Arabidopsis thaliana: one gene and its partner. The protein of the gene in region 1 interacts with the protein of each later gene in a pairwise test. Each region holds a gene or a part of one and is shown in the gene's direction. Other genes may lie near its edges. The genes, in order: RABA4C and GSL05.

The links.
Region 2: the proteins of RABA4C (region 1) and GSL05 interact in a two-hybrid assay, tested with the Arabidopsis thaliana proteins (one study listed by BioGRID).

Annotation. Positions count from the first base shown.
Region 1 is NC_003076.8:19,420,690-19,424,520, reverse strand, and holds RABA4C (RAB GTPase homolog A4C), read left to right. Parts: upstream 1-1,987; 5' UTR 1,988-2,047; coding exon 2,048-2,274; exon of another isoform or gene 2,275-2,318; intron 2,319-2,543; coding exon 2,544-2,988; 3' UTR 2,989-3,181; downstream 3,182-3,831. Other genes in the region: AT5G47970 (Aldolase-type TIM barrel family protein), read right to left, coding at 85-202, 334-506, 601-728, 837-963, 1,064-1,101. UniProt on the Arabidopsis thaliana protein: Intracellular vesicle trafficking and protein transport.
Region 2 is NC_003075.7:1,571,291-1,579,326, forward strand, and holds the start of GSL05 (glucan synthase-like 5), read left to right. Parts: upstream 1-1,975; 5' UTR 1,976-2,222; coding exon 2,223-4,093; intron 4,094-4,253; coding exon 4,254-6,276; intron 6,277-6,456; coding exon 6,457-7,905; 3' UTR 7,906-7,917; intron 7,918-8,001; 3' UTR 8,002-8,036. Other genes in the region: AT4G03540 (Uncharacterized protein family (UPF0497)), read left to right, coding at 1-193. UniProt on the Arabidopsis thaliana protein: Involved in sporophytic and gametophytic development. Required for normal leaf development.

The DNA of each region.
Region 1 (3,831 bases):
ACATGTATGGAAACAAGCAGTATTAAAGCAATATATCTTCCAAGTAGAAGACCATAAGAGTAATGGAAGCCTTTCTGCACACACTTTAAGGGCGGAATTCGACGGTTATCTGACGGGCTAAGTCCAGACAGTAATGCCTTCCGCGAATGTATGATGAAATGCTTAGTAGGAGATAATGAAGAAACTATATGAATGAAATCACCTGAAAAGAAAAAAAAAAGAATGGAAAAGGTATGTAATAATGAACTCCGCAAAAGGTGTTACTTGCCGTTGTTTAATAAAAACACGAGGCATGTGATATAACTCGAAAGATAGGTGGAAGGACAAACTTACAAAGCTCATTATATGAATCATGATCATCAACACCTATTCGACATTTGACAGTGACAGCTGCATTGGTATTGGCTGCAATGACAGACATAGCCTCACCAACAAACTTCGGGTCAAGCATAAGAAGAGCACCAAAACAACCTCGTCCACTTACTTTTGGGCTAGGACATCCACAGCTACAAAACAAACCGGCGTGTCAATATACGAAAGCTTACTGGGATGGAAATGGTACCAATTTTGTTATGATAACTCAACGGAAAGGAAACCTACTTAAAATTAATTTCATCATAGGCGTAAGCATTAGCAAGTCTGGTTGCTTTAGCCAAATTTTCCAAGTTTCTTCCACCAATTTGAAGAACGATGGGATGTTGGTCTGGAGAGAATGCCAAAAAGCTGTCCTGAGCATTACAAGAGTAAACACATGCATCCATTCGTCATAAATTCAAAATGTATCTGCAGGGTTAAGCAAAAAAAGAAGAAAATGAAACCCTTATCCATTTAAGTACCAGGTTATCTTCTTGATAGACAATGGTTTCAGCAGCTAACATTTCAGTGTAGAGCCATGCGTGTTTTGTTATAAGACGCGCTAGAGTTCTGTAATGATTGTCTGTCCATCCCATCATCGGGGCTATACTGAATACGAATTTTAAAAAACGACAGGGAGCTTAAGATCATTCGCTGTCAATGAGCATAATTATCAAAAAATAGAAAAGCAGAACCCTTAAGCAAATACCTGAACAGAGGTGGACTATAAGCTTCTGAAACTGTCATGGCTTCGTATCACCTAATATTTCAGATCCAGATAACGAGCTACACAAAGAATGTAGTAAACATTAGCTTCACGACACAATTGAATTTAAGTACTTTTGGTACCATAATGGTATGAAACAGTAGAAAAACAATTGCATATAATCCATCACTCAGTCTCAATCATATATGAACTTTAACATGCCACATAACTGAGTCTCAAGCTCGTTCTTATGGATTGATTCAAATCAAAGACCTTTTGTATCAAAACAAGATAACATTTCAACAGGTTTATCTTAACTCAAACTAATCATAAAGCGGAACTTGACTGCAGAAGATACAAAACATTGTTCAAACAAGTTAAATGTCAAACTTAAAAAACATCAATTCCAGACCTAATCAAAGTTTTCGAATTTTATTTAATAAGACCAAAGAATAAGTAAAACGGATTAGGAAAAATCCTGTCACAGGAGAGAAATCACTGAACCGAATTAAGCATAATTTTAGCACAATGTTGTACCGGCTGGGTCTAAGCGACGATGTTGAAGAATATCTAAAGAAGAAGAGGAATAGCTTAGAAAGCATCGAAAGATAACTTACGGTGATAGAGAAGACGAATACAGGCAGCTATAGTGGAGGAGGAGGAGAACGGCGAGACGACCGGAGGTAGACGAGAGAGGGTGAAATTGGATTTTAAGTGTGTTTTTTTGTGGTCGCTGAGATTTGCAAAAAAAAAAAAAAGAATGACGTCAAAAAGGAATGAAAAGAAAAAGGAAACAAAAGGCGGGACCCACTTTCGTTGGTGTTCCCTCCTCGTTTCTTCCCTTCACGTCTCCCGATGCTTCACAAGTCGCAACCCACTTTCATCTTTTAGATCTCTCCTCTTCTTATTACATCAGAGATCTTATATTACAACTAAGTCATTTCTATCGCCTCTAAAATCTATAAGCTTGTGATTTTGGTGTGAACGATGTCAAAATTTCAGAGCAATTTCAATCAGAAGATAGATTATGTGTTCAAGGTAGTCTTGATCGGCGACTCTGCTGTTGGTAAATCTCAGCTTCTCGCTAGGTTTTCAAGAAACGAGTTCAGTATCGAATCTAAAGCAACGATCGGTGTCGAGTTTCAGACAAGAACACTTGAAATCGATCGTAAAACTATCAAAGCTCAGATATGGGACACTGCTGGTCAAGAACGGTAAATTTTCCTATCTATAATTTACCATCGTAGATCCTTGTTTTAGTTCTTAGAAGTTGAAAATTTTGGTTGCTTCGAATTTCGCTTGGCAGTCGCTAAGGACTTTGACCAAAACTTTGTCGTATATAGACCAAAATTTGTAGTGGCTTATTTATTCAGTGAACATAATAACATGTCGTAGTCGCCAACGATTGTCAAACGAATAGGTTCATAGTAAGAACTCTTCGTACCATGAGATCAATATTTCTGATTGTGGAGATTTTGTTTAGGTATCGAGCGGTGACGAGTGCATACTACAGAGGAGCAGTAGGGGCAATGTTAGTTTACGATATAACAAAACGACAGTCGTTTGATCATGTAGCGAGATGGTTAGAAGAATTGAGAGGACATGCTGACAAAAACATTGTGATTATGCTAATAGGAAACAAAACTGATCTCGGGACACTTCGAGCTGTACCAACCGAGGATGCTAAAGAATTTGCTCAAAGAGAAAATCTGTTTTTCATGGAGACATCAGCCTTGGATTCAAACAATGTTGAGCCTTCGTTCCTCACGGTTTTGACGGAAATATATCGAATTGTGAGTAAAAAGAATCTTGTTGCTAATGAGGAAGGAGAATCTGGAGGAGACTCTTCTCTTTTGCAAGGAACTAAGATTGTTGTTGCTGGAGAAGAGACTGAATCTAAAGGAAAAGGTTGTTGTGGAACATCATAGACTTTTTTTCATGATCTTTTCTCTTTTTTTTTTTGTTACTACCATTTCTTGTGATCATATTTCTCTTTCTCTTTGACTGCATAAATAATGTGTCTACTTTGTATGTAAGAACAGATGATAGAGTTGATGAGTTGAACACTGCATACTAAATTGAGTTTGTGTTTATTCATGATACACAGACAACTTATTTCCATTTATGACAATTGAAGTCAAAGAATGTCAGATTGTCAAAAAACTTGAAACAAATAATTAGTTATTACAAATATTTTGTTTAAATTATGTCAATTTAGTATTTAATCATGAGTCTATCATGATGTGCGTGGCTGGAGTATTAGATCATGAGAGAGTAAGTTGAATAAGGAATTGTTTGTTTAGATTCAAGTTAGTCAAATACTCAAGTTACAAACCACATGTAAGTAAACATAACTACATATCATTGTCAATATATACTATGTTGTGTATGTATTTATGATAGTAAAAAAGATTATGATTTTGAATATATATATATATATATAAAACAACAATTCCCATGTAGCACGTATGTTCACCTAGTTAAAATAAAACCTAGTTTACGCCTTTACGGTTTACCAAACTTATGACAAAAAGTTTAATAATGATAGTGAAAAATAAATAGTTTATCTACTAGATATTAACCCGCGGTATACTGCGGGTCTATATTTTTATTAAATAAAAAATAATTGAATATTTTTTAGGATAATTTAATAAATTTATGCTATTGTTTGATTTAATGTATAATTTACCGCGAGAAGAAATTTTATAACTCAAATTTTAAAGTTTTAAGTTGTATTTGTTTATTTTGTTAAATGTTTAATATTGTATAAT
Region 2 (8,036 bases), on another chromosome or scaffold:
AGCGGTGGCACAAGTGGGAAAGAAGGGAAACGCAAACGCAGGTTGGCTTCCGATTTGCGGGCAAGTTCCAAAGTTTTGCGATCAGATCACTGGAGCTTTAATTGCCGGTTTCGTTGCACTCGTCCTCTATGTACTCTTACTCTTATATTCTCTCCACGCCGTCGTCGACCCTTTTCTCCTTCAAAAATCTTGAATCTACCTTTTTTTTTTTGAGTATCGATCTAATTTTATGTCTCTCATACATATATAGATAGTAGACACATAAACATAAATTTGCTCGATGTCGATTTGAGACGTAGTTCGTGTGTTGTGCTTGTATAATTTCCACTGAAAAGAACGTTTTCTAAAAGTTCATGACCATAACACGTAAAGAGGCGAATGAAGGTAATATTAATGTGGGACATAGTGTTTTGCGTGATCCAAATTATTTTAGTATCGCAAACCGGCCTGTCTTAAATGGACATTTGTAGTAACAAAACCGACCATCAGCAAATTAACGTTAACGTTGCTCTAATCGTGTGTATTTTTCTAATGCTTGGTGAAGCACATGCGACCATTTGTTGTGTCAGAACAAAAGGAAGATTCCACATTTAGAATTTAGATTATAATCCCACATGCCTATTATTTAAACATATGTATACTGTAATAAATTAGTCCCAGAAGAGCATTTCATCATACTGTATAATTAATCAAATTTAAAAAACATTTGTGTTGAAGAGAAGATGACTAGATTCACTTGATTTTTTTTAATACTGATTGGTCGTTTGACCAGTCAGGATCCAGACTGAAATATTCTCAAAAGGTATGAACTATTTTAATGAAATATTTGAGCTGAGAATTTGCTTATGGGACATTCTATCCTTCTAAAGAAATCATTAGAAAATGGAGAAAAAGTTACTAGAAAAAGAGAGGGAAATGGGGCGAGAGTATGAAGAAAGGGTCCCATGTGAATCTAATAATTGAAAAGCAAATATGAGATTTATTTTAGGGTTCTTGTTTTAGCGTCCAAAGCGGTCGCAGTTGCCGTTCAGCGACTTTTCTCTGTTTATGAAATAAAAACGCTCCACTTGTTCTTTTCTTCTTTCAACCCACTTTGTTATAACTATTAACAAATATTGCTTGGTCCAAATTTTATTATACTGAATTATTTTAGTTTTTTTGTATCATCATCCTCAATGTTAGTTTTGAAATCCTAGGTCAGTAAGTCAATAACGAAAATGACAAGTTTAATTTTGTAATTGGAACTTACATGTCACGGTCTTTGTTTACGATCATTGCCACGAATTGTTTAGATACGGGCTTTTTTTTTCTTTCCGTGTTGATGATTATCGTTTCTTCTTACATATCTTGATCAATCACTAACATTTACATAACCTACAATTTTGTAATATAATTGCAATACTCGAGATCTTCAAATGGTGATACTGTTAATAAAATTACGAACTTTTAATCATCATCAAAATCTATAGAAAAAGATACATAGGACCAAAACAAGCCTAAAACAAAGAGTTATAATTTACAAATAAATGCATGTATTTTGTTACTTTTGTTAAGGATTTTCATATCAATGCATGCATAATGCATTCTCTTTTTATTTTATTTATAATGCATTCTTTTATAATATTCGGATCCAAAATTATGAATTAATTCCAGATTGCCATAAATGTCTTTCTTTGTTTATGCTGACTTTTTTCTTTTCTTAACTTATATAGTAAGTAAACCAGAAAGGTGGAAGATACAAAGCAATTTCATTGCATTAATAAACTTCAAATGTATTATCCAATAATCAAAATTTATCTAGTAATTCACAAAAAAAAAAAAATCTGTCTATCATTCAAAATTTCACCAATTTGGATAAATATCTAGAAAATTTTAAAATACAATTCAATAACACTATTAACATATCAATCAATATATAACATTGCAAAAGTTTACTTGATCATTAGTATATTCATTTTAAGGTTAAAAGATCTTTAAGAAAAGGAAATTCAAATTATATTGTTGGAAAAAAATACAAATCAAAGACAGCAAAAAAAGTAACAAAAAAAAAAGGTAGAAGAAACTGAAACGCGGAAAGGAGGCAAAATCTTCTCGTCGTCGTTGTCGCCGTCTTCAGAGCTACAAACGAAAAAACTCGCTTCCGTTTCGATTTCTCCATTGTTATTGTTTCTTCAGTGAAGCTTTTTTCTTCGAGAAATTTCTAAGATCTACCACATGCTACTATGAGCCTCCGCCACCGCACCGTCCCGCCGCAAACCGGACGGCCGTTGGCGGCGGAAGCTGTCGGAATCGAAGAGGAGCCGTACAATATCATTCCCGTTAACAATCTCCTCGCCGACCATCCTTCACTCCGTTTTCCCGAGGTTCGTGCCGCCGCTGCTGCTCTTAAAACCGTTGGAGACCTTCGTCGTCCGCCGTATGTTCAATGGCGTTCTCACTACGATCTCCTCGACTGGCTCGCCTTGTTCTTCGGTTTCCAGAAAGATAACGTTCGTAACCAGCGTGAGCATATGGTGCTTCATCTCGCAAATGCTCAGATGCGTCTCTCTCCGCCGCCGGATAATATTGATTCTCTCGATTCCGCGGTTGTTCGTCGGTTTCGTCGGAAACTTCTCGCTAACTACTCTAGCTGGTGTTCGTATTTGGGGAAAAAATCAAATATCTGGATCTCAGATCGGAACCCTGATTCGAGACGAGAGCTTCTCTATGTTGGACTCTATCTTCTCATTTGGGGAGAGGCTGCGAATCTTCGGTTCATGCCTGAATGTATCTGTTACATCTTCCATAACATGGCCTCTGAGCTCAACAAAATCTTAGAGGATTGCCTCGATGAGAACACCGGCCAACCTTACTTGCCTTCTCTCTCAGGCGAAAACGCTTTCTTAACCGGCGTCGTTAAACCTATTTACGATACTATCCAAGCTGAGATTGATGAGAGCAAGAACGGTACAGTTGCGCATTGTAAGTGGAGGAACTACGACGATATCAATGAGTACTTCTGGACTGATCGGTGTTTCAGCAAATTGAAATGGCCGCTTGATTTGGGAAGCAATTTCTTTAAGAGTAGAGGCAAAAGTGTAGGGAAAACTGGTTTCGTGGAGCGCAGGACGTTCTTCTACCTTTACAGGAGTTTTGATCGACTTTGGGTGATGCTAGCTTTGTTCCTTCAAGCCGCCATTATAGTAGCTTGGGAGGAAAAGCCAGATACCTCGTCGGTAACAAGGCAGCTGTGGAATGCTCTGAAGGCAAGAGATGTTCAGGTGAGACTATTGACCGTGTTCTTGACATGGAGTGGTATGCGACTCTTGCAGGCTGTGCTGGACGCGGCTTCACAATATCCCCTCGTTTCCAGAGAGACCAAAAGGCATTTTTTCAGAATGCTGATGAAGGTTATAGCTGCCGCAGTTTGGATTGTAGCTTTCACTGTCCTCTACACTAACATCTGGAAGCAGAAGAGGCAAGACAGGCAGTGGTCCAATGCCGCGACGACTAAGATATACCAATTCCTTTACGCTGTGGGGGCCTTCTTGGTGCCCGAAATCCTGGCTTTGGCTTTGTTTATTATCCCATGGATGAGAAACTTCCTGGAAGAGACCAATTGGAAAATATTCTTTGCTCTAACTTGGTGGTTTCAAGGCAAAAGCTTTGTGGGTCGAGGTTTGAGAGAGGGTTTAGTGGACAACATCAAGTACTCGACTTTCTGGATCTTTGTCCTAGCTACAAAGTTTACATTTAGTTACTTCCTGCAGGTTAAGCCAATGATTAAACCCTCAAAGCTGCTATGGAACTTAAAGGATGTCGATTATGAGTGGCATCAGTTTTATGGAGACAGCAATAGGTTTTCTGTCGCATTGTTATGGTTGCCAGTTGTGTTGATATATCTGATGGATATCCAAATTTGGTACGCAATCTATTCTTCGATTGTTGGTGCTGTTGTTGGGCTGTTTGATCATCTGGGGGAGATCAGGGACATGGGACAGCTGAGGCTAAGGTTTCAATTCTTTGCTAGTGCTATTCAATTCAACCTAATGCCTGAGGAACAACTCCTGAATGCTAGAGGCTTTGGTAACAAGTTCAAGGACGGCATTCATAGGTAGTCCGTGGAAGCATGCTACTAATATTCCTAAATAATTTTCTGTACAACGCTTGACTTGACTGTACAAGCTGTGAAATTTTACTTTTGTTAACGCAGATGCTGCATATAATTAAATTTTTCAATATTGTAATAACTTGAGGTTGTGTACTGTATGCAGATTGAAGCTAAGGTATGGATTTGGGAGGCCGTTTAAGAAACTTGAGTCGAATCAGGTCGAGGCCAACAAGTTTGCGTTGATCTGGAACGAAATCATCTTAGCTTTCAGAGAAGAGGATATAGTTTCTGATCGTGAAGTAGAGCTACTGGAGCTGCCAAAGAATTCCTGGGATGTGACGGTTATTCGCTGGCCGTGTTTCTTGTTGTGCAATGAGCTTTTGCTTGCACTGAGCCAGGCCAGAGAGCTGATAGACGCACCTGATAAATGGCTGTGGCACAAAATATGCAAGAATGAATACAGGCGTTGTGCTGTAGTTGAGGCATATGACAGCATCAAACATCTATTGCTCTCAATCATCAAAGTTGACACTGAAGAACATTCGATAATTACGGTCTTCTTTCAGATAATTAATCAGTCCATTCAGTCAGAGCAGTTCACCAAGACCTTTAGAGTGGACCTGCTGCCAAAAATTTATGAAACACTGCAGAAATTGGTTGGGCTGGTAAATGATGAGGAAACAGATAGTGGGCGGGTGGTGAATGTTCTGCAGTCTCTTTATGAGATTGCAACTCGACAGTTCTTTATAGAGAAGAAGACAACTGAACAGCTATCTAATGAAGGTTTAACTCCTCGAGACCCAGCCTCAAAGTTGCTGTTTCAAAATGCTATTAGGCTTCCTGATGCAAGCAATGAAGACTTCTACCGGCAGGTTAGGCGTTTACACACGATTCTCACCTCTAGGGACTCTATGCACAGCGTCCCTGTGAATCTAGAGGCGAGACGGCGGATTGCTTTCTTCAGTAATTCGCTTTTCATGAACATGCCTCATGCCCCTCAGGTTGAGAAAATGATGGCGTTCAGTGTTCTGACTCCATATTACAGTGAGGAAGTTGTATACAGCAAAGAACAGCTCCGAAATGAGACTGAGGATGGGATTTCCACCCTATACTACCTGCAGACAATTTATGCTGATGAATGGAAAAATTTCAAGGAACGGATGCATAGGGAAGGAATCAAGACAGATAGTGAGTTGTGGACAACCAAGCTGAGAGACCTCAGGCTTTGGGCTTCCTACAGAGGTCAGACATTGGCACGTACAGTTCGTGGGATGATGTACTACTACCGGGCTCTTAAGATGCTCGCTTTTCTTGACTCTGCGTCTGAAATGGACATTCGGGAGGGTGCTCAGGAGCTTGGTTCAGTGAGGAATTTGCAGGGAGAACTGGGTGGTCAATCTGATGGGTTTGTCTCTGAAAACGACCGATCTTCCTTAAGCAGAGCAAGTAGTTCCGTGAGTACGCTGTATAAAGGCCATGAGTATGGGACTGCATTGATGAAATTCACATATGTTGTGGCGTGTCAGATCTACGGGTCTCAAAAAGCAAAGAAAGAGCCTCAGGCAGAGGAAATTCTGTATCTGATGAAGCAGAACGAAGCTCTCCGTATTGCATATGTGGATGAGGTGCCTGCGGGAAGAGGAGAGACTGATTATTACTCCGTTCTGGTGAAATACGATCACCAGTTGGAGAAGGAAGTGGAAATATTCCGTGTGAAGCTACCTGGTCCAGTGAAGCTGGGCGAGGGAAAGCCAGAGAACCAGAATCATGCAATGATCTTTACCCGTGGTGATGCTGTTCAGACCATTGATATGAACCAAGACAGTTATTTTGAGGAAGCTCTCAAGATGAGAAATTTGCTCCAGGAGTACAACCATTATCATGGTATCAGAAAACCAACTATTCTTGGTGTCAGGGAGCATATCTTCACGGGATCAGTCTCGTCACTGGCGTGGTTCATGTCTGCTCAGGAGACAAGTTTTGTCACTCTTGGTCAGCGTGTTCTTGCAAACCCACTGAAGGTCAGAATGCATTATGGCCACCCTGATGTATTTGACAGATTCTGGTTCTTGAGTCGAGGCGGCATCAGTAAGGCTTCCAGAGTTATAAATATCAGTGAGGACATCTTTGCCGGGTTTAACTGCACGTTAAGGGGGGGAAACGTCACCCACCACGAGTACATTCAGGTTGGGAAGGGTCCACAATTTGGATTATTTCTAACTAACTATACTGCTACAACGTTTTTTTAACGTTTTTAACGTTTATTAATTATGCAATCTACTTTTGTTATAATTATGTAATTTAACGTTTTTTAATCTTCTAAATTCAAAAAATTTGAGTAACCTTTGTCTTTATGCATTTTTCAGGTCGGGAAGGGACGGGATGTTGGATTGAATCAGATATCAATGTTTGAGGCTAAGGTAGCCAGTGGGAACGGAGAGCAGGTTCTCAGCCGAGATGTGTACCGGCTCGGGCACAGGCTTGATTTCTTCAGAATGTTATCATTTTTCTACACAACTGTAGGGTTTTTCTTCAACACAATGATGGTCATTCTTACTGTTTACGCTTTCCTCTGGGGACGGGTTTATCTGGCTCTCAGCGGGGTTGAGAAGTCCGCTCTAGCAGACAGTACGGACACCAACGCCGCGCTTGGGGTGATCCTGAACCAGCAGTTCATCATTCAGCTCGGTCTGTTCACTGCCCTGCCAATGATTGTTGAATGGTCTCTCGAGGAGGGTTTCCTTCTAGCGATATGGAATTTCATTCGAATGCAGATTCAGCTTTCAGCTGTCTTCTACACATTCTCAATGGGGACCAGAGCTCACTATTTCGGTCGAACTATTCTCCATGGTGGGGCCAAGTATAGAGCCACTGGACGTGGATTTGTTGTCGAGCACAAGGGATTCACTGAGAACTACCGACTGTATGCACGCAGTCACTTTGTGAAGGCCATCGAGCTTGGGCTGATCCTCATAGTCTACGCTTCGCACAGTCCGATTGCCAAAGACTCGTTGATTTACATAGCCATGACTATCACCAGCTGGTTTCTTGTGATTTCATGGATAATGGCCCCATTTGTGTTTAACCCATCAGGATTCGACTGGCTTAAGACAGTCTATGACTTTGAAGACTTCATGAACTGGATCTGGTACCAAGGCAGAATCTCAACGAAATCTGAACAAAGCTGGGAAAAATGGTGGTACGAGGAACAGGACCACCTGAGAAACACCGGGAAGGCAGGATTATTTGTGGAGATCATCTTGGTCCTCCGGTTTTTCTTCTTCCAGTATGGGATTGTATACCAGCTTAAAATTGCAAACGGATCCACCAGCCTTTTTGTCTACTTGTTCTCATGGATATACATCTTTGCTATATTTGTGCTCTTCCTAGTCATCCAATACGCCCGTGACAAGTACTCGGCAAAAGCTCACATACGGTACAGGCTTGTCCAATTCCTCCTGATCGTGCTTGCTATACTGGTGATTGTTGCTTTGCTCGAGTTCACGCATTTCAGCTTCATCGATATCTTCACAAGCCTTCTTGCATTCATCCCAACTGGCTGGGGAATTCTGCTGATCGCACAGACTCAAAGGAAGTGGCTGAAGAATTACACTATTTTCTGGAATGCTGTTGTCTCTGTTGCTCGCATGTATGACATATTGTTTGGGATACTCATAATGGTTCCAGTAGCGTTCTTGTCATGGATGCCTGGATTCCAGTCAATGCAAACGAGGATATTATTCAATGAAGCTTTTAGCAGAGGACTTCGCATCATGCAGATTGTCACTGGGAAGAAATCAAAAGGCGATGTCTAAGTTTAAAAAACGGTAAAGCTCCTTGTTCTCAACACCTTATGTTATGATCGTTTAAATCCTGGATTTCACACCAATGCGGGCTTTAAATTTGTGTAGGTCTTAAGAAGTAAATGGTAGTTCAAATCCTATTG